Linked DNA regions of Arabidopsis thaliana. The protein of the gene in region 4 interacts with the protein of the main gene of each other region in a biochemical or structural test. Each region holds a gene or a part of one and is shown on either strand. Other genes may lie near its edges. The genes, in order: FEI2, AT1G29730, AT2G01820 and AT2G45340.

Evidence for each region.
Region 1: the proteins of AT2G45340 (region 4) and FEI2 form a complex in vitro, tested with the Arabidopsis thaliana proteins (one large-scale study listed by BioGRID).
Region 2: the proteins of AT2G45340 (region 4) and AT1G29730 form a complex in vitro, tested with the Arabidopsis thaliana proteins (one large-scale study listed by BioGRID).
Region 3: the proteins of AT2G45340 (region 4) and AT2G01820 form a complex in vitro, tested with the Arabidopsis thaliana proteins (one large-scale study listed by BioGRID).

The regions. Positions count from the first base shown.
Region 1 is NC_003071.7:14,959,980-14,968,130, reverse strand, and holds FEI2 (Leucine-rich repeat protein kinase family protein), read left to right. Parts: upstream 1-2,692; 5' UTR 2,693-2,885; exon of another isoform or gene 2,886-3,114; intron 3,115-3,358; 5' UTR 3,359-3,490; coding exon 3,491-3,587; intron 3,588-3,698; coding exon 3,699-3,834; intron 3,835-3,924; coding exon 3,925-3,996; intron 3,997-4,084; coding exon 4,085-4,156; intron 4,157-4,408; coding exon 4,409-4,480; intron 4,481-4,868; coding exon 4,869-4,940; intron 4,941-5,034; coding exon 5,035-5,106; intron 5,107-5,301; coding exon 5,302-5,390; intron 5,391-5,511; coding exon 5,512-5,667; intron 5,668-5,762; coding exon 5,763-6,095; intron 6,096-6,174; coding exon 6,175-6,420; intron 6,421-6,514; coding exon 6,515-6,648; intron 6,649-6,725; coding exon 6,726-6,944; 3' UTR 6,945-7,280; downstream 7,281-8,151. Other genes in the region: MOR1 (ARM repeat superfamily protein), read right to left, coding at 625-748, 840-945, 1,141-1,303; AT2G35615 (Eukaryotic aspartyl protease family protein), read right to left, coding at 7,397-8,151. UniProt on the Arabidopsis thaliana protein: Involved in the signaling pathway that regulates cell wall function, including cellulose biosynthesis, likely via an 1-aminocyclopropane-1-carboxylic acid (ACC)-mediated signal (a precursor of ethylene).
Region 2 is NC_003070.9:10,399,301-10,408,291, reverse strand, and holds AT1G29730 (Leucine-rich repeat transmembrane protein kinase), read left to right. Parts: upstream 1-2,378; 5' UTR 2,379-2,417; coding exon 2,418-2,547; intron 2,548-2,645; coding exon 2,646-2,823; intron 2,824-2,914; coding exon 2,915-2,986; intron 2,987-3,083; coding exon 3,084-3,155; intron 3,156-3,235; coding exon 3,236-3,307; intron 3,308-3,406; coding exon 3,407-3,478; intron 3,479-3,584; coding exon 3,585-3,656; intron 3,657-3,749; coding exon 3,750-3,821; intron 3,822-3,914; coding exon 3,915-3,986; intron 3,987-4,093; coding exon 4,094-4,162; intron 4,163-4,257; coding exon 4,258-4,329; intron 4,330-4,411; coding exon 4,412-4,474; intron 4,475-4,567; coding exon 4,568-4,636; intron 4,637-4,729; coding exon 4,730-4,780; intron 4,781-4,859; coding exon 4,860-4,901; intron 4,902-4,976; coding exon 4,977-5,020; intron 5,021-5,104; coding exon 5,105-5,493; intron 5,494-5,584; coding exon 5,585-5,780; intron 5,781-5,863; coding exon 5,864-5,884; coding exon of another isoform or gene 5,885-5,905; and 17 more. Other genes in the region: AT1G29740 (Leucine-rich repeat transmembrane protein kinase), read left to right, coding at 1-50, 141-475, 688-913; AT1G29720 (Leucine-rich repeat transmembrane protein kinase), read left to right, coding at 8,521-8,626, 8,720-8,909.
Region 3 is NC_003071.7:356,403-363,371, forward strand, and holds AT2G01820 (Leucine-rich repeat protein kinase family protein), read right to left. Parts: upstream 4,523-6,969; 5' UTR 4,280-4,522; coding exon 1,993-4,279; intron 1,807-1,992; coding exon 1,262-1,806; 3' UTR 951-1,261; downstream 1-950. Other genes in the region: WOL (CHASE domain containing histidine kinase protein), read right to left, coding at 6,930-6,969. UniProt on the Arabidopsis thaliana protein: Involved in auxin signal transduction and cell expansion and proliferation regulation.
Region 4 is NC_003071.7:18,689,417-18,696,097, forward strand, and holds AT2G45340 (Leucine-rich repeat protein kinase family protein), read left to right. Parts: upstream 1-2,247; 5' UTR 2,248-2,322; coding exon 2,323-2,752; intron 2,753-3,113; coding exon 3,114-3,374; intron 3,375-3,581; coding exon 3,582-4,478; intron 4,479-4,562; coding exon 4,563-5,050; 3' UTR 5,051-5,309; downstream 5,310-6,681. Other genes in the region: CRR4 (Pentatricopeptide repeat (PPR) superfamily protein), read right to left, coding at 5,400-6,681.

The DNA.
Region 1 (8,151 bases), 3.7 Mb from region 4:
ACTGAAACAATGCATATCAAGTAGAGTTATTGCAACTTTATACTTGGGAAGTGAATTAAAACTTCTGAAGGAAATGATGTTTTGAACAAAACACTATGGTAGATATCTTGAAAACAACAATAAAGAAGGTATCTAGATTCCTTTCTCCTTCAGAAATAAGTATTATTCATAGCAGAAGTCCAACAGCTTGAGACACGGTGACAACAACTCAAAACTGGAAATGTTGGTTACTGAAGAGGGTGATTATAGGAACAGACCCCAGAAAGTTGATTCTGTTTCTTGACCTTGAACACAGGATGCTCAGGACATCTGTCAGTCATCGTTATTTAAATTGCTCTTTTCCTATGCCACACTAGATACCTAGCATAACACAGAACTGGACAAAGAGCCACAATGCTATATTCTACGTCACTCCTTCTAAGATCAGTATATGGTTGAATTCTGGGTTATAAAGCACTTTCATTTCTATGTCAGCTCACCTATCTAGTTTCAGATACCAGTATCAGCAATCTAGCAAGTAACTCTATGGCTAGATGGTGAACCTATACATCAGAGTGCAAGGGTTAACCGTATGTGTCTAGATAACCCTAGCAGTGTTGCAAAAACATAGAATGAATGACATACCAGAAAAACATCGACGGCCTCTAATTCTACCCAAAGCAAGAAAGCAGCCTGCGCCTTGTCCACAGTATTCTTCCGACCCGTAAGGCATTTGAGCGCAATAGCATCGCAAACTTCCTTTGCATACCTTCAAAAGCAGAAACAAACTAATTATTCACATGCAAACGAACACTCCACTCTGCCCATTTCTAAAGCAATAAAAATAAACAACACCATACCTTCCAGCATCTGAATCGGCTGCTCGCAAAAACGCAATCAATGCATCAAGCGCTTTCTCTTGCACCGGCGCATTAGAATCTGCCACCGTCTTCCTAAACAAGTGACCTGCGAATAAAAAATAATAATCAGAAATTCAATCAAAAGTAAAGCAAAATGGAACCCTAGACCAATCACATTCCCACTCAACAATCCAAATTCAAAACAGATCCACACCGATATAAACCACCCTAATCAGATCTGAGCTTCAAAAACAAAAACCCTAACATAATAATAATAAAAAAACGAGGTAGAGAAACTCACCAAAATCGCGAAGACGAGGGTCCTTAGGATCAGTAATCGAATCAAAAACAGAAGCTAAATCGACGTTAGCTTCGTTCCTAACTTTCCAATTCTTATGCCCAAGCCGATCCTCCCAAGGAAGTTTTTTCGCCTCCTTCAATAACTTCTCATCCTCCGTCGACATTACTCCACGAAATTATCTCTCCGACGGTATCGATCTTATCGATCTATACCAAGTTTTTTTTTTCTTCGTACGGTCTCTTGGAAACTTTCTCTCTCTTTTCAAAAAAATTTCTTCGTGTTGTTAGTGCCGGCAAGAGAGAGAGAGAGAAGGACAAAAAAGAAGAGTAGGGTGGAGCGTAATGAGAGAGAGAGAGTGGGGGAATTTTGGTTTCTACGTTTAAATCGGTGGTGTAATTTTTTTGTTAAAAACCCTTCACGCGCGTTTTGATTGGAAATGTTTACACGCGCGATTATTTCAAATCTTAAAACGAGCGTTTTTCTTTTGCTTTCTCCACGTGGAGAGATCGGCATTTTCAAACTATTTTAGGAAATGATTAACAGTACTGAATTTTCCTATTGTTGGTTCTGTAAATATTTTCAAAATATATTTACATTAACAATCTATTAATTTCTAAGAAAATAAAGTAATATTTTGAAATGAATAACTCATTTTTAGTTATAAAAATATTTATTTTAAAAAATCAACAAAATCATGAGTTATTATTACTTACTTATTGGATTATCTTTTCTTCTATAAAATACAAATAAATAGTCATTTTCTATAAAACTAGACACGTAAACCAAAATGGATTTATTAGTTTGATTATGGAAGTTCAAAAACATTGTGTATTTTATGATTTAAAAACTAGTTAAAATTTATTATTTTAATATCCTAAATATTTATGCTAGGATCTGATTTCGCTTTGGATTTTAATATATTTGAAATATCTAATTCAAATTCAGAATACAAATACTCAAATTTCAAACAAACTTTGATTGATAATTAGTACAAGAATATTTAAGCCACACCACACCTTACACCTTTTCCATCTCCATCCTCATGTCTTAGGTGATGTAACTCTCTATCTCCAGATATCTTTTCTTGTCTACTGCTAACACATGAAACAACAACTCAAATTTAAGCCATATTTTTACAATGGTACCAAATTTATAAGAATCATAGATGAAATTACCAAAACAAGAAGTTACGTGGAAAGATTGAATCCAATATTAATATTTTGATTTCTATTATAAAAGCAAATGAAATAATGATTATCAGTCCATTGTTTGTTCCATTTTTAAGTACACTTGTTTGTTTGATTTAGGTGAATAAGATCCGCTAAAGCTGAAAATACAAGAATTGTCCCTAAAGATAGTAAAGTACAGTACGCTTCCAAATAAATAACAATGGGCTTTAGTAGGCCCACGCAATAACGATGTTTTAACTGACCCAACAAGCCCTTGTCCAGTTCTGGCATTATACAATGCGTCGGTCGACACGTGTAATAAGTCATGATCGGCACGTGTGGTCTCCACTTCTCCTCTCTCATTGGTCGTAAACTCGTAACTAGCCGATTCCTTCTCCAAAGTATCTCACATTTCCACTGCACACTCTACTTTCTCTCTCTTCACTCTCTCATAAATCACAACAACAACAAAAAAAAAAAAGTTGTTAGTTAAGACATTGCTTTACAGCTCAATTGCGTCTTCTTCCTCTGTCTTATTCTTCATCTTCATCTTCCTCCTCGCGGATCCATTTTGAGGTTCGTGTAAATTCCCATTCTCTTTCGCCATTTTTTTGGGGGAAGTGAGATTTTGGTCTGAGTTATCGGCGAATCGATTTCGTTTTTTTAGATTATTGAATGGTTTTGTTGACTCTTCAGTTCTTCTTGTGCTGTGATTGCAATGATGTCCTCCGAATTTCGTGATTTAAGTTCGATTTTAGCTATCCGAGCTCCTCTTTAAATAATGAGTTGGGGTTTTATTCTGAAGGTTCGATTTCTGATTTTGCAAATTTGGGAGGTGGATTTGATCCGATTAGATAATCTCACTGTTCTGGGTGCTGTAATTGTTAATGAGACCATGCAAATGTTGTGCATCGATGTTGTGGAACGCTTGATTTGTAATTGAGGATTTGGTTGTCTGATTATTGGAAGATCGAGGCTTGATAGAGTTTCAAATGAGGGTCAGCTGTTATTGTTGTACGGTCTAATGACATTATTTTATTTAACTTCAGGAGTCTCTTTTTGTTTCTTGAAGATAGACTGGGCGTCACGGAGCAGCTGAGTATATGCTACGAGTGTTGCATTCCGGAGGCTGTTCTTTCAGATGATTGGCAGTAGCTATATTATGCTTGAACGGTGCCATAATGGGCATCTGTCTAATGAAGCGCTGCTGCTCATGGTTTCTTTTGATCTCGTTTCTCTCTGCACTAACGAATGAAAATGAAGCAATTAGTCCTGATGGTATACAGCGATATGTGTCTTTAATCTCTTCTATATTTTGTCTTTGACAAGTCATGATCACCATTTACTCCGCCCAGATTGCTGAAGGGATTAAATCCTTTTTTTCTCCAGGTGAGGCGCTTTTGAGTTTTAGAAATGGAGTTTTGGCTTCTGATGGTGTTATTGGTCTGTGGAGACCAGAGGATCCTGATCCATGTAACTGGAAAGGAGTGACCTGTGATGCAAAAACAAAAAGAGTTATAGCCTTGTAAGTTTAAAATTTCTTTAGTTTAAATTCTTTTTTTTTCTTCAGTATGTGGTGCATCTTTTGTCGGTTCCTGAAGTTTCTTGTGTGCAGGAGTCTTACTTATCACAAATTAAGGGGACCTTTACCCCCTGAGCTTGGAAAGCTGGATCAGTTAAGGCTTTTGTATGTGCTCCTAACCTTTTAATTAATATTATTGATGTCTAGCATATGCTCTACTACTCATTGTATGTGTATTCCCATGTCATTGCAGAATGCTTCACAACAATGCGTTATATCAATCAATACCTGCCTCATTGGGAAATTGCACGGCATTAGAGGGAATGTAAGGGCTTTCCCAAATACTTATGCTGATTAGTGTGATTACACTTCATTGCTGATCGAATTCTCGTTTTGTTTTTCCAAATTTTATATTATTTCCTAACAATTACTAGTGTTTTTCTTTATTTGCTTCTATATAGTTGGTGCATAATATTGATGCGTCTTGTGAGTGATGATAAACTCAGTCACAAGTTTAGCTAGTTGACAAGAATCGTTGTGAATCTTTTATAATTTATTGTCCTTTTATTCCTTGCAGATACTTGCAGAATAATTACATCACTGGGACAATCCCAAGTGAAATAGGAAACCTGTCCGGGCTGAAAAACCTGTACGTGGTTTTTTTCCTCGTTCTTCCAAGTGGATTTGTTTTCTTAGCCTCTCTAGGATCTGCTATTTGTTGTTCTGCTATCTACTCTCACCATTTAGTATCCTCTATAATTATATTGTGAACTACAAGAGGTTCTTCTGATCTTCCATGCAGCAACAACATAATGTTTTCGAAAGTACTTATTTCTACAGTCGTGGTGAACCCTAAAAATTATAGGGAGTTTGACATAACTTATATTTAATCACGTATTGTGTTATTTTTTCCGGGTGAAAAACTCTCAAATATGATGATGAGAATTGTAAATCTATGCTAGGCTTCTTTCATATTAAATGGGCATATCATCTACATTCTTCTGAACTACTATGATTTTTGACTCTCATTTATGAAGGGACCTCTCAAACAACAATCTCAATGGAGCTATCCCTGCTTCACTTGGGCAGTTGAAAAGGCTTACTAAATTGTGAGTTGCTAATCTCTAACTTGCGTATTTTATTTTGCAGTCCTGTAGATATATGAGTGTCAATGTTACTAACTATGTTGATCTTCTTTTGAAGCAATGTCTCAAACAATTTCCTGGTGGGAAAAATACCTTCTGACGGCCTACTCGCTAGACTCTCGAGGGACTCGTAAGTATAATTTATATATACCCATTTCCCCAACCAAATTTTTGTAAATTATGGTTGATAAATCTTTCTACGGTTGATCTGGCAAAGCAGTTATAATTTTTTTTGTGACGTTGTGTACGATAGCACCCTGTTACTAGCTTTGCAGCAGTGTAGCTGAAAATAACCAAGTCGTAAACTGTTGAATCACTCTTGCAGCTTCAACGGAAATCGTAACTTGTGTGGAAAACAAATCGATATTGTGTGCAATGACAGTGGAAATTCTACAGCTTCTGGGTCTCCAACAGGTAAAGCAACTGTGTTTTAATCAATTTCTTGTCAGGATATATGGATTATAACTTAATTTTTGAGAAATCTGTAGTATTTGGCGTGAAATGAGTTTGCTTTTTGGTTTCTCCCGTGTTATAGGCCAAGGAGGTAATAACCCTAAAAGGCTGCTTATAAGTGCTTCAGCTACTGTGGGTGGGCTGCTCCTAGTGGCGCTCATGTGTTTCTGGGGATGCTTTCTCTATAAAAAGCTTGGTAGAGTTGAGAGTAAAAGCCTTGTGATAGATGTCGGTGGAGGTGAGCCATGCTGACTCATATTGTAGATATTCTCTCTAAGAGTTATATTTTTCTCTCAAAACTTGACACCATAAGAGACGATTTTTTCTATCCAGGTGCGTCTATAGTGATGTTCCATGGAGATTTGCCCTACGCTTCCAAAGACATTATCAAGAAACTGGAATCTCTTAATGAAGAGCACATAATAGGCTGTGGAGGCTTTGGCACAGTGTACAAGCTGTCTATGGACGATGGCAATGTTTTTGCGCTGAAAAGAATTGTTAAGTTAAATGAAGGTTTTGATCGGTTTTTTGAAAGGGAGCTTGAGATTCTTGGGAGCATCAAACATCGTTACCTTGTGAATCTACGTGGATACTGCAATTCACCCACATCAAAGCTTCTGCTATATGATTACCTTCCTGGTGGTAGCCTTGATGAAGCTCTACATAGTAAACCCTCAACTTCATATTTACGGGTTTCCTTAACGGAGAATTATGATTCTATTAAGTGAAATTTTTGAATGTGTAGAGAGAGGCGAGCAGCTGGATTGGGATTCGCGAGTTAATATCATAATAGGAGCGGCAAAAGGGTTGGCATACTTGCATCATGATTGTTCTCCTAGGATTATACACCGTGATATAAAATCAAGCAACATCTTACTGGATGGAAATCTGGAGGCTCGGGTATCAGACTTTGGGCTTGCCAAGTTGTTAGAGGACGAAGAATCTCATATTACAACCATTGTTGCAGGCACATTCGGTTACTTGGCTCCAGGTACTCAATTACACAGTAATAACAATGCTTATTACTTGTTGTTACTATCTGTTAGGACCTAAATCCGTGAACTCATAATGAGTGTTTTTTGCAGAGTATATGCAAAGCGGTAGAGCGACTGAGAAAACCGATGTTTACAGCTTCGGGGTTTTGGTTCTTGAAGTCTTGAGTGGTAAACTTCCCACGGATGCCTCATTCATCGAGAAAGGCTTTAACATTGTTGGTTGGGTAAGCATAACGAGATCCAGCTTAGATAATAATATTGACTAGTAAAAGCTTAAATTTTGTTTTTTATAATCTTGCAGCTAAACTTCTTAATCAGCGAAAACCGGGCAAAGGAGATTGTTGATCTAAGCTGTGAAGGAGTGGAGAGAGAGAGTCTCGACGCACTTCTATCAATAGCAACAAAGTGTGTGTCGTCAAGTCCAGATGAGCGGCCAACAATGCACAGAGTCGTCCAGTTACTTGAATCCGAAGTTATGACTCCTTGCCCCAGCGACTTCTACGACTCCAGCTCCGATTGATCTCACGTTCACAAAGTCTGTCTGCCTTCTCTTTTCAGAGTTCCTTTTCAGTTTTACAGTACAAAGTTCTCGAGCCATTCATAGTCGGTACCTTTTTTTTTTTTTTTTTTTACTTTGAATTGGTAGATTGGTGACACGCCTCAATTGATCTGATCATGAGATTAAAATGTATATGACCATCCATTGTAGAAACACTGTTCCTAAGAATCTGAATAATTTCTCTATCATAATACTTTCTTGTTTGCTTTCTTAAGTTTTATTATACATGTTGTGTACTTCGGAACTAGTTGAAACCAATCATATAATATCGATGAGAAGATCAATATAGAAAGAAGGTAATTATTTTTACTAGCAAGGATAATTTTTAAGCTTTGATTCTGATTTTACATCTCCATAACAAACAAATGATTATCATGGACAATATAAAATAAGCTCGATACGACGCCGTCAAATCACAAATTCGCAGAGCAATCCATGTGTTGAAACGACACCGTCCTCGTCTCCAAGTCATACCCAACTAGGAAATCCATCTGAGCAAAGTTCCCATAGATGGCAACCTCGGTGGTCGGAACCATACTCAAGCAAACCATGTCTTCACTCAGTTTCACGAATGCGTTGATCGGACTCAGCCTCACATCTGCACCCGTGAAATGCACCGTTATCTCCGGCAAACCGATCTCTGCACTTCCGGATTTGAAACAGTGAGACAAAAGCCCTTGTGGATCACTCACGCGCTTGGCTCCGGTCACTGATTCCTCCACCGCCGAGCTAAATTTGTCAAAGAAACCAGCTTCGAGGAGGGTCAGTGTCGTTCCAGAGTCGATGATGATGTTTCCAGATGTCTCCGAGAGTATTCCGTCGTCGTTTGGGTTATACGAGCTTCCGGTGTAAGGAATCTTTTTCTTCCCGACGGAGATGGCTTCAAGCGTCAAGTAGTAGTAAGTAAGAGGCTCTTTATCGACCAACGGAGTTGATACCACGCCGGAGTCTTTGCTTAGACTTGAAGGAATCGAGTTAGTGCCTAGGTTTATGACGCTTGTGCCATTCGTGGTAGCTGACTTGTGAGACAAGCAATAAGAAAATTTCTTCGAAATCGACGAACCGAGCTGGGAGATTAGTGATAAATGACCACCACCTAGACCGATAATCCCAGAACCAGTCTCGTCGAAGGTACCACCGTTATTGTAGCCACAACCGAAGACAGTAC
Region 2 (8,991 bases), on a different chromosome or scaffold from region 4:
ACGCAAATTACACGCCAGATAACGAATGTTGCGTTGGCCTTCTCGATTGGGTACACTAAAACCAATCCTTTTACACTCACAAGAACTCAGTTTTTCTCTCAACTGGGTACTTATAAAGGTTCTTGATTTTCAAATTCCAGGCATTTGTACTACAAAAGAAAGGAGCATTTGATGAGATTCTGGATCCGAAGCTTGAAGGAGTGTTTGATGTGATGGAGGCAGAGAGAATGATAAAGGTTTCACTTTTATGCTCCAGCAAGTCTCCAACATTACGACCAACTATGTCAGAAGTTGTGAAGATGCTTGAAGGAGAGACTGAGATAGAAGAGATCATATCAGACCCTGGAGCGTACGGTGATGAATTGAGGTTTAAGAAAACGGCGGAGATAGGGTCATCGTCTTTACCTTCCGATTATCTTGTGTCGATTACTTCGTCCTGTGAATCTGCTTACGATTTGTACCCACTTAGTCCCGAGTCCGTTGTTTTCTCTAGACCCTAGATCCCATTGTTAACGACCTTTACATAACAATCTCTGTTACATTTTTTTCACAAATTTCATTGTCAAAGACTGAAACTTTTGGTTTATAAGAAGAAGAAAATAACGCTTTGTAGTCATTGACCAAAAATCGTTAAATTGGGGTATGAAATTAGGGTTCTTTCGTTCGCGCCGTGGGTGTACTCGTAAGCCAGCTATGTCGACGTTATCACCCTCTCCGCCGGAAAGAACATCACGATGATACTTCCCGGTGGCTCCGTCCTGAGCTCGACAATGGCGCCTACATTGCAGCACTTCTTCTTCCCCAACGTGATGACTTTGAGGTCTGTGATTCTGTTATTTTTTGGCTTTCAAGTATCATCAGTGGACAAAGAGAAATTCGTCAAATTGCAGATATTAAGAATTCTGATGATTGAAATGCAGTAGGCCATAGCTTTTTGTCTGGTAGAGATTGTAACTTGGTAAGCTTGAAGCTGCATTTTGCGTTGACATCTATGAAGAAAGAACACACACAGATAACGAGATTAAAACTGCATAATTAGACTAGAGCTGTAGAGTGTCATCACTTCGTGAATTATGGTGGTCACATCTCTGTTATTGATCGGGTCATTTGCTAGCTTATACCGTGCATCAAAGCTTTTTCTTTTGCTTAGAATCTATCATGAACTGTTGAGGACACTCTTTGCAGTGATTAGTTTTAAATCAGGTAACAAAGTCTTGCCTTTTTTCTAGCTACAATGACTTCTTCATGAAATGTTAGTCAAATCAAGTTAAATGTTCTGGTTAACACAATTTGCAACTGAGGTATCAAATGCCATGTTATACAACTACTAATGTGACATCTTTGGTGTCTTTAATTTTTTACATCATACTTCCTCTTTTAGTCTTGTATCTGTTTCTCTGTGCACTGGAAGACTTTTTATTGGCTGAGCATATGTCTCTAGATTGTGGTTTTGACGATGATTCGGGAAGAAACCATTCCCAAAACGTGTGTAATGAAGTTATAAGCATGAAGTCTCTAGAGACAATATGATAGGGACAGCTTGATTTCTTGCCCTGTAAACGTTTTACACCATTGGTAAGATGATTTTCGGTGTGCATGATATTTTGGATAACAAGTATGTCATTGTAGATTTCATGGTAGTCTGATCTAAAAATGATGTCTTATTTGATAAGGAGCTAGGGATAGGGAATTCTTGCGTATGAGAGAGTCTGAGATATATTTGGTTATTTGGATCTCTCTCTCTGGCAGTTGCAGAGCTTCTGACTTTATTGGCCTTTAACAGAGGACATTCAATAAGATTAATATGAGTAAACCAAATTTTATACCCACTAGCTTTATAGATCCAAGGGAAAGTAGAAGTCAACTCTCAAGAAGACTGAATAAAATATGCAACTAGTCGAAGTCTTGTTTCATGTACTCAACCAAAGTTATGCATAGAAATTGTCAATCCCTCCAATTTTTTTATCTATTAACAAAACAAGCCATGATCTTCAAATTATGTGACTCAAGATCTAAAATTAGAATTGTTTAGGCTATATTCTGTTGAAAGTGTTAGCAATAATGCTTTTGGAACCATAAACTCCTACTGCTTTTTAGCCTTTTAGGTGTTCTTCTAGTAGTTCTGCAAGTAAAATGGAGGCGAAAGGCTGAAGAGAATTTTCTAATATTTCTGCTCATATTGTAAATAAATCCAGATGAGAGGCTGGATTGTAATTATCCCCTGAATTTGGCAAGCTGCCTAATACAAGCAATGACTAACCCCATGTGCTTACTCTTAACCTCAACTTAGGCAAACTGCATTTCACTTTTTCACAATTTTCTATATATATATATATATGTGCATTCGTATTGTTTCAGTTATATATTATTTATGTATTGTTTTAAGTCATAGATAGATCACTTGAACACAATCTTCCATGTCTGCAGCTTACAATCTCATGATTAAGTCGAAAAGTTGCCTTTTTAGCTCTTCTATTCTCTTTGTTGTTACACTTATCTACTTATTATGTACTGTATCTGCTTCTCCTTCTCTGCACCCAGATGAAGGTTTAGTAGTTTCAATGCATTATATCATATATACATGTGCCTCTCTTTGTGAATTTGAACTAAACTTGATTTTGTTTCTGGTTTGCTGTCTTCGCCAGTGGAAGCGCTGAAGGATATCACTGAAACATTGGGTGTGAAGCACTTGAACCTAAGTGAAGATCCATGTCTCACAAAGACTCTAGTGATATCTCAAGGTGTTCTCAAGGAAGGACAGAACAGCACAATCAGATGTGACTGTCATTTCAATAACTACAGCACTTGTCATATCAAACACTTGTAAGAAAAACCATTCTGAAAAAGAAGAAACTAACCGTTTTTCTGCTTATTTCTCTTGTTTCTGACCAATTACTATGTACCTCATATCTAGTGTCCTCCAGAAATTCAATCTTCCAGGTAGACTTCCTCCAATGCTGTACAAGTTTCGGCATCTTGAATCGATGTGAGGAGGGTTTTCAGTGTTTCAACTACTTTCAATATCTACTGCTATCGTAGAAGAAACATAACAATGGCTGGAATTCTTTTGCTTGTTTTTGTAGTGACTTATACAATAATTACCTTTATGGCTCAATTCCTATGGAATGGGCCTCACTGCCTTACCTCAAATCTATGTAAGTCTTTGTTCTCAAGTTTGTTTATTGCTAGGAAAGTAAGAAAAGGTTCTGAAGTTACCTGATATATTTCTCCGCAGCTCTGTCTGTGCAAACCGCTTATCAGGAGACATTCCCAAAGGATTGGGGAAGTTTATTAACCTCACCCTTTTGTATGTTCTTAACATTATTTTGTTGATCTTATGAGATTACATATAAAGCTTTTTGTCCTTTTTGAAAACTAAATCTTTCGTCTTTTTGTTTGATTGCAGAGTTCTTGAAGCCAATCAGTTTTCGGGAACTATTCCTAAGGAACTAGGGAACCTAGTGAATCTACAAGGACTGTACGTAAGACCCTTTTAAAAATCACTTTTGAAGAGATCGAAACAAATTTATGACCCAGTGATTTTCTCAAACATGATCCATTTAATTTTGTTTTGCTGATTCCAGAGGACTCTCTTCCAACCAACTTGTCGGAGGCCTCCCCAAGACATTAGCAAAACTAACAAAGCTAACTAATCTGTAAGATCATCTTTCTCATCTGGATTACTAACAAAATATCAGCTTTAGAATGTGTTCATCATGCTGAATTGTTTTTCATTATATTGTTTACAGCCATTTAAGTGATAATCGCCTGAACGGATCGATTCCAGAGTTTATTGGGAAGTTACCAAAACTTCAAAGATTGTGAGTAAAGTATCTTTATTTTTCATTACACTTAAATAGTTAGTATTTGTACATTTCAATGTTTTCTGACTTGTGCTGATAACGTTGTATCAGAGAACTCTATGCGAGTGGCCTTAGAGGACCTATTCCAGACTCCATTTTTCATCTGGAGAATTTGATCGACGTGTAAGTTTTTTATCCTCTTTAGATATTTGTTGAAGCAATAATTTTGTAAGTTGCAGAAGCCTATGTTCTTTTTTGAAACGAAATTGTGGCCTTTTCTTTCTATGCAGGAGAATCAGTGACACGGTTGCAGGATTGGGACATGTTCCTCAGATAACTAGCACGAGCCTGAAATATTTGTATGTAATAGTACATTTTTATGTCTCAGGTCCAGATACGATCATATGGTCAATTACTTGTGTTTAGACTTTAGACTGATGTTGATCATTTTCAGGGTTTTGAGAAACATAAACTTATCTGGACCAATTCCAACCAGTATCTGGGATCTGCCCAGTTTAATGACTCTGTAAGTCTCATGTTTTATCACCACGCATCTTGCTAAACACTGTCCAGTCTCTTATAAGTTATAACGCCTTTTTTTTTGACAGGGATCTTTCCTTTAATAGGCTGACTGGAGAAATACCAGCATATGCAACTGCCCCAAAATACACGTAAGTCTTAAAGTGTCAGATGATCAAAAGGATTAGGTATGCTATTAAAATTTACTATAGCTGTTGAACTCATCTCCTGGTTTCATTTTTCAGATATTTAGCTGGAAACATGTTGTCTGGAAAGGTTGAAACAGGAGCTTTCCTTACTGCAAGCACAAATATGTATGACCATTCTTATTTTATAGCAGTCATATATGTCAAGTCATTTCTCGGTATTACACTAATCTCTCCTTTTACCAATATTCATATGTGCAGTGATCTTTCCTATAATAATTTCACGTGGTCTCCAATGTGCAAAGAGAGGAAGTATGTTTTTTCTGTTGTTAACTACCGCCTTTCATCTGCTTAAATTTTCTGGATACTTTTAACATAAGTTTCCATGCAGGAATATAAACACATATGAGAGCTCACACTCAAAAAACCGTCTGTAAGAGCATTTTGTCAATCTTATTAATCACTTGCTACTTCGTGTACTGTTATTAACTCATTGTTCTGTATACAGAACCAGACTTCTTCCATGTTCCGCCATAAAGCAATGCCAAAATTGTAGGTTCTTTTGCTTTTTATTGATTTCCAAATACCCTTTTTCGAGTTTCTGCATATGAACTGGAAATTGTTTACTTTCCACAGATAGTAGATCGCTGCATATAAACTGTGGGGGACCTGATGTAACCATCGAAAACTCTCGAGGAAGGTTTCTGTATGAAGGTGATAACTATGGACTTACCGGATCAGCTACGAACTATTATAGGAAAAATTGGGGATACAGCAATACTGGTGACTTTATGGATGATGCAATAACAGAAGATACATACACAGTTTCATCAGAATCTGCAGTTTCAGCAAAATATCCAGACCTTTACCAGAATGCTCGGCGCTCTCCCCTCAGTTTGGCTTACTATGCATTTTGCTTCGAAAATGGAAGCTACAATGTGAAACTCCATTTTGCAGAGATTCAGTTCTCAGATGTGGAACCATACACTAAACTAGCGAAACGGGTTTTTAACATTTACATTCAGGTACATATAGCCTTTTGCCGCAGATTCTTTAAGAACCCCTTTTCAGGGGTTTTAGCCGATTCTTGAAGTTTGAAATTTAATATATGTTCAGGGGAAGTTGATTTGGGAGGATTTCAGCATTAGAGAGGAGGCTAATGGAACTCACAAAGAAGTTATAAGAGAAGTAAACACGACCGTGACTGATAACACTTTAGAGATACGGCTTTACTGGGCAGGGAAAGGCACAATGATCATTCCTCAAAGAGGGTACTATGGCTCTCTTATCTCTGCAGTCTCAGTTTGTCCCAGTAAGTAAAATTCTGTGGAGGTAAACATGAAGTTTCCCTCAGAAATTTTTATCCTAATTGTTTACTTGTTTTTGTTTTACCAGGTTCAGAATCTGAATGCGGTGGTATGAAGAAGAAAATCTCAAGTCTTTGAGTCCTTTTGTTCCTGCTAAATCTTGAATATGGATTAATCTTTTTCTCTTTGTTTTCTTTTGTCCGCCTTCAGTTCCAGTGCAATTTCTTCCGGTAAAAAAAGATCATAAACCAACAAAATATCCTCTAATTCTTGGCTTAACACTCTCTCTTGCTTTCTTGCTCCTGGCCGCATTCTGTTGGAGAAAGTGTGTTAGCAATGCAAATGCAGCAGAACGAGGTATTGAATTCGCTACTTAAAAACCATGTAAAGTTCTGTTTTTTTTTTTGAAAATAAAGAGCTTAAGGGACCTGATCTAAGAACAGGTTCCTTCAGTTTGAGGCAACTAAAAGTCGCGACCAACGATTTTGATCCCTTAAACAAGATTGGAGAAGGCGGCTTTGGATCTGTTTATAAGGTACAAAGGAGTCTTCAAGCTCTAGAAATCAATGTTAGTGTTCTTAAAAACAGGTGACGGTAAAGCCAAAAATTTGACAATACAGGGGCGATTACCAGATGGAACATTGATTGCGGTAAAGAAGCTATCTTCCAAATCACATCAAGGTAACAAAGAGTTTGTAAACGAGATCGGTATGATCGCTTGCCTGCAGCACCCGAACCTTGTGAAGCTTTATGGATGCTGTGTTGAGAAAAACCAGCTGCTTCTTGTCTATGAGTACTTGGAGAACAATTGTCTTTCTGATGCATTATTTGGTAAATTTATCTGATAGATGATTGGACCAAATCCTTTGACTGCATTCTCTTCTGTCTTGAGATTGAATATTTGCTTGTAAACTGTGGGAGCAGGAAGAAGCTGTCTCAAACTAGAATGGGGAACAAGACACAAAATATGCTTGGGAATCGCGAGAGGGCTTGCTTTCCTCCATGAAGATTCAGCAGTTAAGATCATTCACCGAGACATTAAAGGGACAAATGTTCTACTTGACAAGGATCTGAACTCAAAGATATCAGATTTCGGGTTGGCCAGGCTCCATGAAGACAATCAGAGTCACATTACCACCAGAGTTGCAGGAACAATGTTAGTAGTATATTCAGTCGTACAGATGAGTTCAGCATAAGATGATGTTTCAATAGCAGTTATTGTTATTTTTGTTGCAGAGGATATATGGCTCCTGAATATGCAATGAGGGGTCACCTAACAGAAAAGGCAGATGTTTACAGCTTCGGTGTGGTGGCAATGGAGATTGTTAGCGGAAAGAGCAACGCGAAATACACGCCAGATGACGAATGTTGTGTTGGCCTTCTCGATTGGGTACTGATTCAGTCTTTTTCTCCACAAGAATTCTGCTTTCTCTCAAATAAAAAGGTTCTTAGTTTTCAATTTCAGGCATTTGTGTTGCAAAAGAAAGGGGATATCGCGGAAATTCTGGATCCGAGGCTGGAAGGAATGTTCGATGTGATGGAGGCAGAGAGAATGATAAAGGTTTCACTTTTATGCGCCAACAAGTCTTCGACATTACGGCCAAACATGTCGCAAGTTGTGAAGATGCTTGAAGGGGAGACTGAGATAGAACAGATCATATCAGACCCTGGAGTGTATAGTGATAACTTGCACTTCAAGCCATCGTCTTTGTCGTCTGATTATATCTTGTCGATTCCTTCATCATCTGAATCTGCTTATGATCTGTACCCACTCAGCCCCGAGTCCATTGTCTTTACTATACAGTAGCCTGAACCCTCTGATTATCTCTACGCTAGGGTTGTTGTTGTAGGCTACTTCGGGCTCGAGAAAAGATTGTAATTAGGGCTAATATCGCTAGTTGTACTTGGAAAAGAATTTATTTTGTTTTAGAAGAAAAAATCATACTTAAATTGAAATTCGTTATAAAATTAAAACTATAGAGAAAATTCCAAAATGAAATCCAAAAGGTCCTTGTCCTAGCGTTTAGCCGTTTACTTTGACTCTTCATCCAAGAAAGTAAAGACATGGCTTTATATGCTTTCATTTTTAGTACAAATACGAGTGGTCAGTGGTGTGTGTAATCTATAACGAGTGGTCAATGGTGTGTGTAATCTATAACGAGTGGGCAGTGGTGTGTGTAATCGATGTATATTGTCTGTGTGATTGGCCGTACGGATTGGCCGTAGTTTAGTCACCAAGTGTTGGCTTTCTATTAGTATTAATTTGCTGATAACATGGTAAATATTTTGATTTTTAAAACATGCACAAGAGCATTTTAAAGAAGTCATACATCATAAGGTTCTATACGCGCTTTGATATATATAAATAAGAACAAAGCATAGCATTTTGAGGAAATTATCCCAAGGTTTTATAGTATGATGAATAACATTCAATTGGAGAAGTTAGATGCAAGAATTGTTCAACTTCCTCCACAGAGTGTTAATTAGTTGAGGTTCTAAAATTAATCAACCAATACATAAGGAGACATGAAACATCAAGCATTCATTAACCTCTCTATTCACCACTATTAACGTCGACATTAATGTTTATTTTGGTGAATTGGTCAATATATACCTATACTCTCTACTCACCGACAACCTAAGAAAACCCTATAAATTTGCTTGTTGGTGATGACTTTGTGATCTGCCAAACAAATTAAATACACATATATACAAAGAATCACTAAATATACCTTATATATACATATGTCAATCATCCTCTGGAGTTTTTTCCTGTTCTTTACCATTATCTTAAGTTCCCTCACAAATATAACAACATTGGCTTCTTTTTCATCTCTTCACGCAGATGAATGTATCATTTCTAAAAATTTTATAAATCATAATCAGAATCCGTATATATTTTATATACTTATTTTCAATATGTTTTTTTGCTATATTAATGCAGTGAATGCACTAAAGGAGATAGCTACTACACTTGGTATAAAGAGATTGAACCTAAGGGATGAAGATCCTTGCAGTTCAAAAACTCTAAAGATCATACAAGAAGTTGATTTTGTTCCGAATCTAGATATCAACAACACCATTGGTTGTGATTGTAGCTTCAACAACAACACGATATGTCGTATTACAGAACTGTGAGTGTTAGTTTTTTTGTCTTCTCTTCGTTTAATCCTTTTACTTTCTCTTCTTTTCTAATAATGTTTTGCATTATTATAT
Region 3 (6,969 bases), about 18 Mb from region 4:
TCGATACAACATATGACAGAAAGTTTTCCCTATTCGAGATAATACGTATGCGGGTTTTCACGTTTTTACGTTTTAGAAATATGATTTAGTTGAATACATACCATTTGCAAAAACTTGCGATGATTATTAAAACGTGGAAATAATATGTGTTTGTTCAATTTATCTTGCACGTTTTAATACAGATTTTTCGTCTCAACGTTGTTGATCTATGCTGATAGTAGCACTGGATGAAAGATTAGAAGAAATACAACAAAAATGAACATACCACTTGGCATGGTGACTCAATGATGTCTTAACCCTAACTTTATTTTTTGTTCTTGAATTAATCTAGTGTAATATTGAATACAAATCCATAAGATAATAAAATAATATATATTTTTAAAATTATGTATTAAATGTATGATCACATCAATATTATAAGTTAATAATTATACAAACTTATCAATATATATCTAAAATAATTAGTGACATATGAGTATATAACTCTAGTATTGTTTTTGTTGTTGAATCTGCATTATATTGGAGCTCATATCTAATCTTTTTTAACTACATCAAAAGCTGTGAATGGTTTATAAGTGATAATTGGTTCCTTACATGTAAACGGTTAAGTTTGCCTAACTTAGTTCCAATTATTGGTGTCACCTTTGATGTTTAGATTTTATATCATATGATCAGTGAACCTAAATAGTAGATGCTTAATATTATGAAGATTGGATTGGACAGTGTGCTTTATAAAATGAGGGACACCAAAATCATGTATTTCATTAGAAGGGAAGGACCAACTGGCTCATAGCAAATTGAATGAATACGGAGACTGCTTTGATATTCCAGTGGGTGTATGGTCCAAAGTCCAAACCCATAAACACATGGCTTTATTGGACTTGTGGGCTTGGAATACAAAATGATTTCTCATAGAAAGTGTACTTATAGTAATCTACTTGCTTAAACCCCTAAACACATGTTAATAACTTAAACCGCAGTGAGTTCAAAATACTGTTTGGTTCAGCTTTTACGGTTTATGAGTTGGATTTTACTGACGAAATATTAAAATTTTAAGAACTCAAAGATTGTTATCTTTGCATAAAAACTACACAAAGTAGATAGATAAATACACTAACCAAAAGCTTGCAGTAGATAAAAACGAAGTCATAAGTAAATATGCTTCAGAGAAAAGCAAAAAAAGGGAGAGCGAGAGAGAGATTTATCACACAATGCTTCATCTTCTTCTTCTACTAAAACGTTTTACGCAATCTTGATTTTTTCAACGTCCATCCACAGAAGTGAACGAGTCAGCAAATCCAGATGGGCGAGTTGGGATACTTGTCTGCGTATTGTCTTTGCTTCCATAAGCCGAAGACGAAGATCCCGAGTCATCCGCGGTCTGGCTTAGTCCCTCGAAAGCTTGCCATTTCTTAAGCACCTGCGGAAGCGGCATATCGTAGTCTATCCCATAGACGTCATCAGGGTCGGTCTCAGTTGGTTTCCATTGGACGGTGAGTGAAGAAAGGACGTTAACGATGTGAGCCATGTCAGGTCTTTGGTAAGGCTCACGGGCACAGCAATGACCAGCAAGCTCCCAGACTTTTTCAATACTGGCTACGGTATCGTCGTCGAGGCTGATGTTTGGGTCTATTGCGTTTTTGAAGGCATTTTCGTCTTTGCTGGCTGCTACCCGACGGAACCATGTGACTAGATGGACGCTGTCTTCGGGTTGCGTCTCGTCTAGGGCTTTACGACCAGTGATTAGCTCCATAAGTATGACCCCAAGGCTGAAAATGTCTACCTTGGTCGTCACTCTTCCCGTCACTGCCAAAATCAGAGTATAGAACAATTGCCAAACGATCAAAGGATGAAACTATAACATTTAGGAAAATGCAATAAGATCAAAGCATGAAAATTTAAGTGCAAAACGGCCAAAGTATGAAACTTTGACACTGGGCAAGTGCAAATCAATTGAAAGGCAGAGACTTTAAAATTTGGGTAAGTACAAACCTGCGTATTCTGGGGCAAGGTATCCGAAAGTCCCAGCTACTCGAGTCTCAATGGAGTATTTGCCATCAGGGGCTAAACGTACTAACCCAAAGTCAGAGACTTTAGCGCGCATATCATCACCAAGAAGGATGTTTGATGGCTTTAGATCCCTATGGATAAAGCTCTGATGCGCAAGTGTGTGCAGATACTCGACACCTCGAGCTACATCCAATGCAATCGCCAGCCGTCTAGTCCAGTCTAACGGTTTTCGCCCTTCCTCTTTCCAGTGGAACAAATGCTGACTTAGTGTCCCCTGTGGCATGTACTCGTAGACAAGAAGCCTCTCGTTCCCGTCAAGGCAGTAACCGAGAAGCGCAACGAGATGACGATGACGCATTTTAGTCAGAACAGTGATCTCAGATTTAAACTCAGTAAGTCCCTTATCACTCACAACCGAAGACTCCATTCTCTTCACAGCTATTTTTGTTCCATCGTGGAGTTCGCCTTTGTAAACTGTCCCGAAACCACCTCTCCCGAGAATATTCTCTTCGCTGAAGTTATTCGTCACATTCCTCAAGACCTGTATCGATATAACCAAGTTCCCAGCTTCAACAACGTGAATATCACTCGCTGCACTTCCGCTGTGACTGTAGCTATCACTTCCTCCACCACTGTTAAGACTAGAAGCTGCAACAGTGAGTTTAATGTCATCGTTGTCACCCGAATGATGCGGATGAATAACCATGTTGCTGCTTGGACTTTGAACTCTAGCAGGTCGCTTCCTTTTCTTCGCATAAAGACACACACCAAGCCCAACCAAACACAATGCACCAACAACCCCACCAACCACAGGAACAATAATCTTGACATTGCTTGATTTCTTAGAAGTTTCACTGCCATCACTTCCTCCTGAAGGTTTACTTCCTGGTGAAGCTCCAGGAGCATCACTCGTTTTGTTAGGTCCATTCTTCCCCATGTTAGCGTTCCCTTCAGTCACCAAAGTCACAGTATCCCGAAACTTTGGCGGTATTCCATAAAAATCGTTGTTAGACACATCAAGTAACCTAAGCTTAGACAATGTGGTAAGCTCATCAGGTATATGCCCGGAGAGTTTATTATCAGCAAGATTGATAGTCTCCAATGAAGTAAGCTTAGCTAAACTCGGAGAAATCGTACCCGAGAGATCCTGTTTCCTCATATTAACAACCGTAATGTTACCTCCAGAACAAGTAATCCCAACCCAGTTAACACAAGGATTGTTTCCTTTCCAACTTTCCGCAAGCTTCACTGGATATCCAAATGATTCAGCTACAGATACCAAAGTATCCACACGAGGATCACAAGCCTCACCAGCTACATTAGTACAAAAGCTATTCATGTTGTTGACTATATCAACACCAACGGATTTGCCAAACAACGGAGTCGGTCCTTGAAGATAATTATTAGTTAAATTCACAGTAGTAAGCGAACTCAAACTAACCAAAGACTGTGGAACAACACCAGTGAGCTGATTCTCTCTAACATTAAACACACGTAGAGATACCAAACCAGAGAGATCAGGAATTGGACCTGAGAACTGATTTCCTTGAAGAGAAACCTCAACGAGCGAAGTCATGTTCCCCAATACCGAGATCGATCCATTAAGCTTCTGACCATTCAAGAACAGAGACTGAATCGAAGTACCAGCAAAACTCATCGGTAACTCTCCTTCTAAACCATTCTGAGATAGTTTCAGATTCGTCAAGCTCGGAAGTGACTGAGAACCGAAGAAATCTGGGATCTTTCCAATAATGCTGCAATTGGAGAGAGTTAGATTCTGCAGAGACGTAGCTTCTTTAACGGTGTCTGGAATTACCCAAGGATCAAACGGATTGTTCTCGAGATACATTTCTTGAAGAGAACTCATACCAGAGAAGAGATTCTTCGGTACAGAGGTAAAAAGATTGTCGTGTAGATTCAGAGTCTGTAAACGAGATAAGCCAGAGAGATCAGGAATAGGACCAGAGATACGATTGAGAAAAAGCTCGAGAATAACCAATTCAGAGAGACTCTGAAGATTAGTAGGAAGAGTTCCACGAATCCCTTTTTGTTTAAGCTGAATCTTAGTAACACGATTACTTCCATCGCATTGAACAGATTGCCATTTACAAGGGTTAGGGTTAGACCAATCGACGTCTGATGTAAGATTCAGACTTGATTTGAGAGATTGCATAGTCGAATCATCGAGACCGGTTTGAGAAAGTGAGAAATTGGCCAAACCCAGTAAAGAGATGATGAAACAGAGAGTACCCAAATGGGAATTTGACATTTTTTGTTGGAGAAAGAAACAGAGTGGAGGAGGTTAAAGGTGTCGCCTTTGAGAATTCTGAGTCTAGGGTTTTAGGGAGGCATTGAAGAAGAAGAAGAAGAAAAGGTTTACAGAGAGGAAAGGGAAAGACGAAGGAATCGGCGGAGATCGAGGAAGATAGAGAGACGAAGAAGATTAAAGGTAAGAGGATCATAAAAGCATTGCCTTTTTATTTATTATTCTCATTCAAATGAAATATTTATTCTTCTGTAATAAAATGGATGAACCATAATTAATAAAAATGCATACTTTAAGTTTTGCTTGTGTAGAGTGTGTGTGTGTGTGTGAATACAGCTGGCAAGGTGGCATAATTAGTGGTGAAAAACAATAGTGAAAATCGCCGAATAATCCATAATTATGAATAATGAGATTATCTACTAATTGTGTTTATAACTTTATATTAAAAAAAAATCAGAATTAGGAATAAGATACAAATTTTATGACATTTAGATGTTTTCAGTTTAGGTGAATATATTATTAACATTTGTAAAGTTTGTAAATAAAAATCACGTTTGAAATATTTTATTTATATATTCAATTAGAGAATTTTACTTTTTAGGAAGTTTTAACAATTGATTTGTGTCAAAATTGGTAATAATAAAAGTAATATCTCTATGATTGAGTGTATTTCGGCATTTTTCGGACTAAACTGCTAATAATATCGATTGTCTTTCCTAAATTTTTAAAATATTTTATTTTGTAATAGATCTTGGATTTTTGTTCACATTATTTCCATTTGCTTCTATAAAAAAAGGATATTATTTCCTCCTTATGAATATTTGTGGGACGAATACAATACGTGGAAACTTATCTGTATTTCTTAGAATAGAAAAAGCATTTAATACGGTGACGGTGGTTACCTATTGTTTAGGGTCAAAGATTAGTCGAAAATTGAAATTTCATCGTAACGTGCTAAAGACAGTTTAAGATTACACCGTTTTATTTAATTCATTTTTTGACTCATTGTGTCACGACTTCGTGAGTAATTATATACTTTGAATAAAAAAAATTAAAAGATTAATGAGTACTTTGCATTGCATGGTCTTAATCTTCTCATGACTAATTTTGACCAAACAAGATAAATGTGATTTTTTTGCAGTCCCGACAAAAAAGTTTTTAACTGTAAAAGACAGACGCCGTGAAATCCGGAGCATATTAGCCACGCATTAATCTTCATTCGGCTGATTTTTTAACGGTCGTTATCTTACGCCGTTTACCACAATTTTTAATGTTTGTTAGGTTGGAGAGTTATTATTATTACTTACCAGTTTCACTCTAACCTAGAACTATTCTTCTTCTTATGGTATTGAATGTCTGTTTTTATTCACTAGTAATAAATATTATAACTATACTATTTTAAAAATAGTTATAGTACGATATGTAGAAATTGGGACATGTATATTGTTGTTGTTAATCTTATAGAAAAATAGTAAAAGTAGCTAAAGATTGGTGTATTATACGCACCAACCATATACTATAAACTCGCACGAAATGTAGATCGAACACTTGTGTACGTAGAAAGATTACGTGACAACAACAACTAGTCCACTTTGCTGTTCGTTACGGTCACACATCAACCACATTTATTTCACTTACTTCTTTTTTCAATCATTTCTTAAATTCTCAATAATTCTAAAAATCAGATATTTGTCCAAACCTCTTTGGTGTAGTGGCACAAGGAAACTTTAACTCCTATACCTGAGTTTGATTTTTCATGAAAACAATAACAAATTTGTTTAGAAAGTCTCTCAGTTGTGATTTGGTCCAATTAATTTATTTGGTAGTTAGAAATGCAGACGGTATGATTATCCTTGGTATTAGTCGGAAGGCATTTCAAATTAGAACCTAACAGTGTGGTGATCCAATTCTACCTAAATCGGGAGAAATTCATTCTGTAGTATTTCGTTGCGTTCCTACTGAAACTGATAAAATAAGTCGATAGAGTATATAAAAAACAAACAAAAAGTCAGATATTTTCTATATACTCTTCTTGGACAAGTTCCTAATTCTTCTCATCCTTTATAGATTACATCGAGAGATCCGATTAAAGGGTTGTTGATTGGCTTTGGTTATCTCACTCGGTTTAGTGAGATCGACGAACCAATAGTAAAACGCAGTCGTTTTTAAGCTTTGCTCTGTTTCTGTTGTTTGAAAGCTCAAGTCGTCGACTGAGCTATAGCTAATGAAGAGTTGTTTGAGCTCTTTCTCTGATCTTCGTTCAACTAGCTAACCGATTTGGTTGCTAAACAAGCTCAAAAGATGAATCAAAATGGTCTCGTCTCAAGTTATAAGAAGATGTTATATATGGAAAAGTTATTATTAGAACATTACAATGTTTAAACGACTAACCAAATCTGATACAGTACAAACGATCCCGTGGGATTAATACTTACGCTAAGATCAACACTGAACCGTCGTCTTAGACGTTGTCGTTTAACAACATACACTAGTCATGGCAAGCTACATTACTTCGGTGAAAGAAAAAAAAACCTTCAAAATCTCTAGATTGTGAACCTACTGTATGTACAGAAACCAAAATGCATATCAATCAGCAGAATCGGTCCACTCTTCCGGCTGCGGAGAGAGAAAAAAAACTCGCCGGAAGATTGGATTACGACGAAGGTGAGATAGGATTAGGTTTGAATGATTTG
Region 4 (6,681 bases):
TTTTAGATGTAATAAATCAAAGAACACATCGAACACACATAAGTTCGATTTTCAACGTCTAAATTTACGAGAAGCAAAACAAAATTATGTATAATAATAAAAAGACTAATATTACCACTCACAATTAGACACGATATATAGCAAAACAAGATACATAGTTTTGCTCAAAAACAAAACATGGATGATAATCAGTAAAATGCGGTGCCTACCAAGTACCAACATACAATTATAATGATTATTGATAAATTTTTGAAGTTTTTGTAACAATATACGAAACATCGTACTCATGCATTCAAACAAAAATGGGACAGGCTGGGTTAGATAACGTGTGAGGGATGGATTTCTCTAGAGACGAAGCCAAATATAAGGCGTGACTTTAAATGATATCACACTACTGTTTCATCTTATAACAAATCAAAAGAGATGAACTAGTGATGTAATTCTATAAAATTTACCACTTAGATGTACTGTGTATCGGCTAATTAATTGGTCATAAACTATTACTTTCAAATGAGTTCTACGTACTATTACTATAGTTTAAAAGTAAAGTAAAATCATATTCAATCAACTTAGGAACTCAAATTAATATTGTCTAATTAACACAATGTCATCATCATATAGAGATTTGACTGCACTAATTAAGTTATCATGGACACTTTCTTTCTGAAAATTCTCATTTTCTCACTCAAATAATAATTTCATTCTATAAATAGATAATGAAATACACACACATCTATCATCCACCAAAAATATCATCCACCACTACCCACGAAGTAAGAAAATTACAGAGAAAACGGAATATCTTTTAAGTAGACCTTAGCCTTTTGCTTTATTCTCTTGCTTTATGTCTTTCTTGTTTCTGTAAATTCACATGTTACACTTAGAGGAGAGCGAGGTGTTGGTCCATTTTACCTTTTGCTATGATCAGATATAGAAGATAGCAAAAACATTAACTCAAGACAAGTTCACATGTTTGTAAAATTTTACGTAAATTTGTTTATTAATTGTGTTAGAAAAATGTTCACATGTTGCTACTATTGACTTGCCTCCATCATCTTCTTTGTCCCATTTGATGTACTCTTAGCCCCATGCCTCTTGGATGCCTTTTTTACCTTTTAATTTGTTCTTATATAATATAAAATATTAGCTACCCTTTTTTTTGTTATTCATGGAACAATTATTTGCATCAAATATAGTAATTTAATGGAATAATATCAAGAAGATCCCATTTATCTTTGTACCTTATTCTCCATGTGAACATATAAAGCTTGTTATCAGGTTATTTGTACATGTAATATCTAAGGGTGTTTACTGATGATGATCGGATAAACTCGAGGTTTGATTTAGTCAAATATAGTTCTTTTCTAACTAAAATCCCAACCTCACAATTTTGATGTTTTTCAGTAAATATGGTCATTAATAAGTTATGAATTCGCTAATTAATAGAAATTTATAAGAAAACATATATCCAACATTTATGGATATATGAAAAGTTAAAAACAAATGATATAAAAAGTACAATTTTATAGCTGGTGCACTGAAAAAGAAACAACTTTTCTTACCATTAAATCCAGGGAGAATGGTATCATTTTCAATTTTGAAAAAAAGCTAAGATTCGCCTAACTATTATTGTTTTCCTCTGAAAAGACTTTAAAAGTAATCTTTACCGTATAAAGTACAGAAAATGAAATGAACTCGTGGACTTCAATGTTTTCAATTTTCATGAGTCTTTTGTTTTCCTTCAATTTCCAAATAAACTTATATATATATACTAATCAATCAAAAACAATCCACTCAAAATGTGAAACTATACATGTAGAATACTTGATGTAACATGAACAAACAATCAAAATATTGTAGTTAAAAAAATTTACTGTTGATTTTGATCAGTAATATGTGTAATTAAAAAGTGATAAAAAGTCAAGTGGTTTAAAATTATCATAAGAGTAACATATGGACTATGGTTCAAATACTTTCATTGCAATAACAATTATGTATAGTTAGCTACTATATGAATGTCTTAATACATTGCAATAACTTACATTGGAGATTAGTCTATATACATTTATATATTAAAAAATTAGAGTTGTGATCTATATAGTTCTCTATGTTATCATTTTACATTTTCATAGTTGAACTAACTTTTTATTATTATTATGTTCACGATATCTATACTTTTGTGGTTTAAGCTTTTCTTAGTATTAACAATCAAGAACTACTATTTTATAAATACAATGGACAAGATTTTTTCTTCAAAACCACAAGAGAGAGTCATTTTCATTTTCTTCCTCATCTCTCTCTCTCTCTTCTCTCCAACCAAACATGGTCTCTCCACTCACACTCTTTCTCATCCTCTTCTTCTTCTTCCTTTCTTCTGCACTGTCTTCCTCCTCCTCAGAGCTCGACATTCTCCTCGATATCAAATCCTCTCTCGACCCTGAAAAACGTTTCCTCACTTCATGGACTCCCGACGCCGACCCTTGCTCCTCTGGCTCCTTCGACGGTGTCGCGTGCGACGGAAACCGCCGTGTTGCTAACATCTCTCTTCAAGGAATGGGTCTCACTGGAACTATCCCTCCTTCAATCGGTCTTCTCACAAGCTTAACCGGTTTATACCTTCACTTCAACTCCTTGACCGGTCATATTCCTAAAGATATCTCAAATCTGCCTCTCCTCACCGATTTATACCTCAATGTCAACAATCTCTCCGGTGAAATCCCTCCTCTAATCGGGAACTTAGACAATCTTCAAGGTCGGTCTATTTATGCATGTGTTCTTTGTTAACCTCACTCACTATAATTCATTTATTGCAGCTAAAACACCTTAAGCGGGTCAAATTTGGTTTATTAAAACTTAGCTAAAAAGAGTTTAGGTCTTGAATGGTGTAGATTTTAGTTTTTTTTTTTAATCATCCATTCAAGTTTTTAGATTTTTGAGTCTCCTAGAAACTAGGGATACTCTCTATTGTCTCCTTCATCTTTCACTCTTTTTTATGCAAAACTCAAAAACAATTTTATTTGGGGTTTTGAAACTAAAATGTAAAACTCAACAAAAATAAGGGCAAATATAATTGCATCTATATATTCATAACACTTTTTTTTTTTTTTTTGCAGTTATACAGTTATGTTACAACAAGTTAAGTGGAAGTATACCGACACAGTTTGGTTCTCTTAAGAAGATAACTGTCTTGGCTTTACAGTATAACCAACTCTCCGGCGCCATTCCGGCGAGTTTAGGCGATATTGATACGTTAACGAGGCTTGATTTGAGCTTCAACAACCTCTTTGGTCCTGTTCCGGTGAAACTCGCCGGTGCTCCTTTGCTTGAAGTTCTCGACATTCGTAATAACTCCTTCTCCGGCTTCGTTCCCTCTGGTAATAATTTATTTTCCCTCAAGATTCATAAATTCTTCAGATTCTAAACCGGTTCAGTGTTGACCAATCCGATTAAACAGAACCGGGAACCAATCCAAAACCGGATCGTGGAGAACTTAAACCATATCAATTCTAAACCGGTTTTTACAACCACATTAAAGATGTTTTGCTGACTTGTTTGTTTCTTGATTTTTATGAATTATGAAGCTTTGAAGAGGCTAAACAATGGATTCCAGTATTCAAACAATCACGGTTTATGCGGAGATGGTTTCACTGATTTGAAAGCTTGCACCGGCTTAAACGGTCCGAACCCTAACCGACCAGACCCAACAAACCCAACGAATTTCACAACAGTTGACGTGAAACCAGAATCAGCAGATTTACAACGAAGCAATTGCAGTAACAACAATGGCGGGTGTTCATCAAAATCCTTAAAGTCTTCACCTTTAGGAATCGTCATGGGTCTAATAGGATCAATCCTCGCAGTTGCAATCTTTGGCGGTTCAACATTCACATGGTACAGACGAAGGAAACAGAAGATTGGAAGCAGTCTTGATGCAATGGACGGTAGGATTAGTACTGAGTACAACTTCAAAGAAGTTTCTAGAAGAAAAAGCTCTTCTCCATTGATCAGCTTAGAGTACGCAAGTGGTTGGGATCCGTTAGGACGAGGACAGAGCAGTAACAACAACAGTGCATTGTCTCAAGAAGTCTTTGAGAGCTTTATGTTCAATCTTGAGGAGATTGAGAGAGCTACTCAGAGCTTCTCTGAGATTAACTTGTTGGGGAAGAGTAATGTCTCTTCAGTTTATAAAGGTATCCTTAGAGATGGTTCTGTTGCAGCTATCAAATGTATAGCTAAATCGAGCTGTAAATCCGATGAATCCGAGTTTCTCAAAGGGTTGAAGATGCTGACACTGTTGAAGCATGAGAATTTAGCGAGGTTGAGAGGATTCTGCTGCTCGAAAGGACGTGGAGAATGTTTCCTTATCTATGAGTTTGTTCCCAATGGTAATCTTTTGCAGTATCTTGATGTGAAGGATGAGACTGGAGAGGTTCTTGAATGGGCAACTCGAGTTTCCATCATAAACGGAATCGCCAGAGGTTGGATTCTGCTATTCATTCTTTCGTAAACTAAACTCGGTTTTTTGTATGTGAAATCTGATTTCTTTTTTTTCTTCCTTTCAGGGATTGTGTACTTGCATGGAGAAAATGGGAACAAACCTGCAATAGTTCACCAGAATCTATCTGCAGAGAAGATTCTCATTGATCACTGGTATAATCCTTCTCTTGCAGATTCCGGTCTTCACAAGCTTTTCACAGATGATATCGTTTTCTCGAAGCTCAAAGCAAGTGCGGCAATGGGATACTTAGCTCCTGAGTACATAACTACAGGGAGGTTCACTGATAAGAGCGATGTTTATGCATTTGGTATGATTCTGTTGCAGATACTGAGTGGTAAAAGCAAAATCAGCCATTTGATGATCTTACAAGCTGTAGAGTCAGGAAGACTGAATGAAGACTTCATGGATCCAAATCTTCGAAAGAACTTCCCGGAAGTAGAAGCGGCTCAGCTCGCTAGACTTGGTCTTCTCTGCACTCATGAATCCTCAAACCAAAGACCATCCATGGAAGATGTTATCCAAGAACTGAATAATCTCGCCGCGGATTATTAGTTTCCCGTTTAACATGATTCTTGCTTTTGATAGTCCAAGAATATAAAGCATACCAAGGTTTCAGACTATCACCATTCCCCTGATGTTAACTCTGTTTTAGGTTCAGTATAGGGGATCCGAAAAACTCGGTTCATGATGTAACAATCTTATCTCCTTGTAACTGTAGCTGATGTACTTAGGCTGTAAAAACAATCACTTTTCAGACGTTTTAAGTGATCTTGTGGGAAGTTTTTTTCCAGACATATCTTAGCTGCACAAAACCAACCATGTGACATTGTCTTCATGTATGCCAAGGAATTGCAGAATAGGTTTAAGCCCTTGAAAATATATTGCTGCACATTCGTTTTATCTACAATGTACTGGAAACTTCAATGCTATCTACAAAGAACTCATGGACTCTTCCATCGAGCTCAATCCAACTACAACCAGGAATTTTCTCTATCTTTCTTTCCTTCATCATCGTTCTAACTCTACGAACATCCTTCCACATTCCAAAACTAGCATACATGTTAGAGAGTAGCACATATGAGCTCGGGTTATATCCAGCCTGCAAAATAAGGTGTTTTGCGACAAGCTCTCCCGTTTCAAACTCCTTGTGGTGACTACAAGCGGTGAGAAACGTTCTCCATATGACATCATTTGGCTCAACAGGCATTTCCTCTATTAAGTTTTTGGCTAGCTCTATACTTCCGGATCTCGATAGTATGTCTACCATACAACCATAGTGTTGCAATCTTGGTTCTATCTTGTGTTTTCTCCTCATGAGCTCAAAGCAGAGAAGGCCTTCCTTTACTAACCCAGAGTGGCTGCAAGCATTTAAAACGCCAACAAAGGTGATATCGTCTGGTTTTAAAGAGAGTCTCTCAATCTGCAAGAGCATATCGAATGCAGATTCCCCTAGACCATGAATAGCGAGCCCACCAATCATAGCATTCCAGTGATCAATGCTTTTGTTTTCGATTCCCTCGAAAACCAACATGGCGTGTTGTATGCTTCCGCATTTCGAATACATATCAATGAGAGCAACACCGAGTTTTCCACCTAGATAGAATTGTTTCTCCACGATGTACAAATGCATATCTATGGCTTTGGATAATCGGCCAAGCTGAGCAATTGCAGGCAGAACTATTACCAAAGTCGTATCATCGGGTAACAAGTGACTCTCCTTTTCCATGTCACTAAATATTTCAAGAGCTTCCATGTGATACTTGTTTTGAACATAACCAGCCATCATAGAATTATATGCCACAACATCTCTATGAGGCATTTGGTCAAACAGAGTCTTAGCGTGATGAACAAAACCTAACTTTGCATACCCATCAATCATGGTAGCCCAAGTAACTACATCTCTTCTCGGCATCACATCGAATAAACCCTTAGCATCTTCGATTCTTCCGTGTTTTACATATCCATCTATCATTGAGTTCCACGAAATCAAGTCCTTCTCAGGCATATCAGCAAACAGTTTAGACGCTATGTCAACTCCATCTGATGTCTGAGCATAACCACTTATCATAGAGTTCCAAGATATCAAATTCTTCATCTCCATAGGCATCAAATCGAACAATTCACGCGCGGATACAATCAATCCACATTTGACATACCCATCAATCATGGAATTATAAGAAACA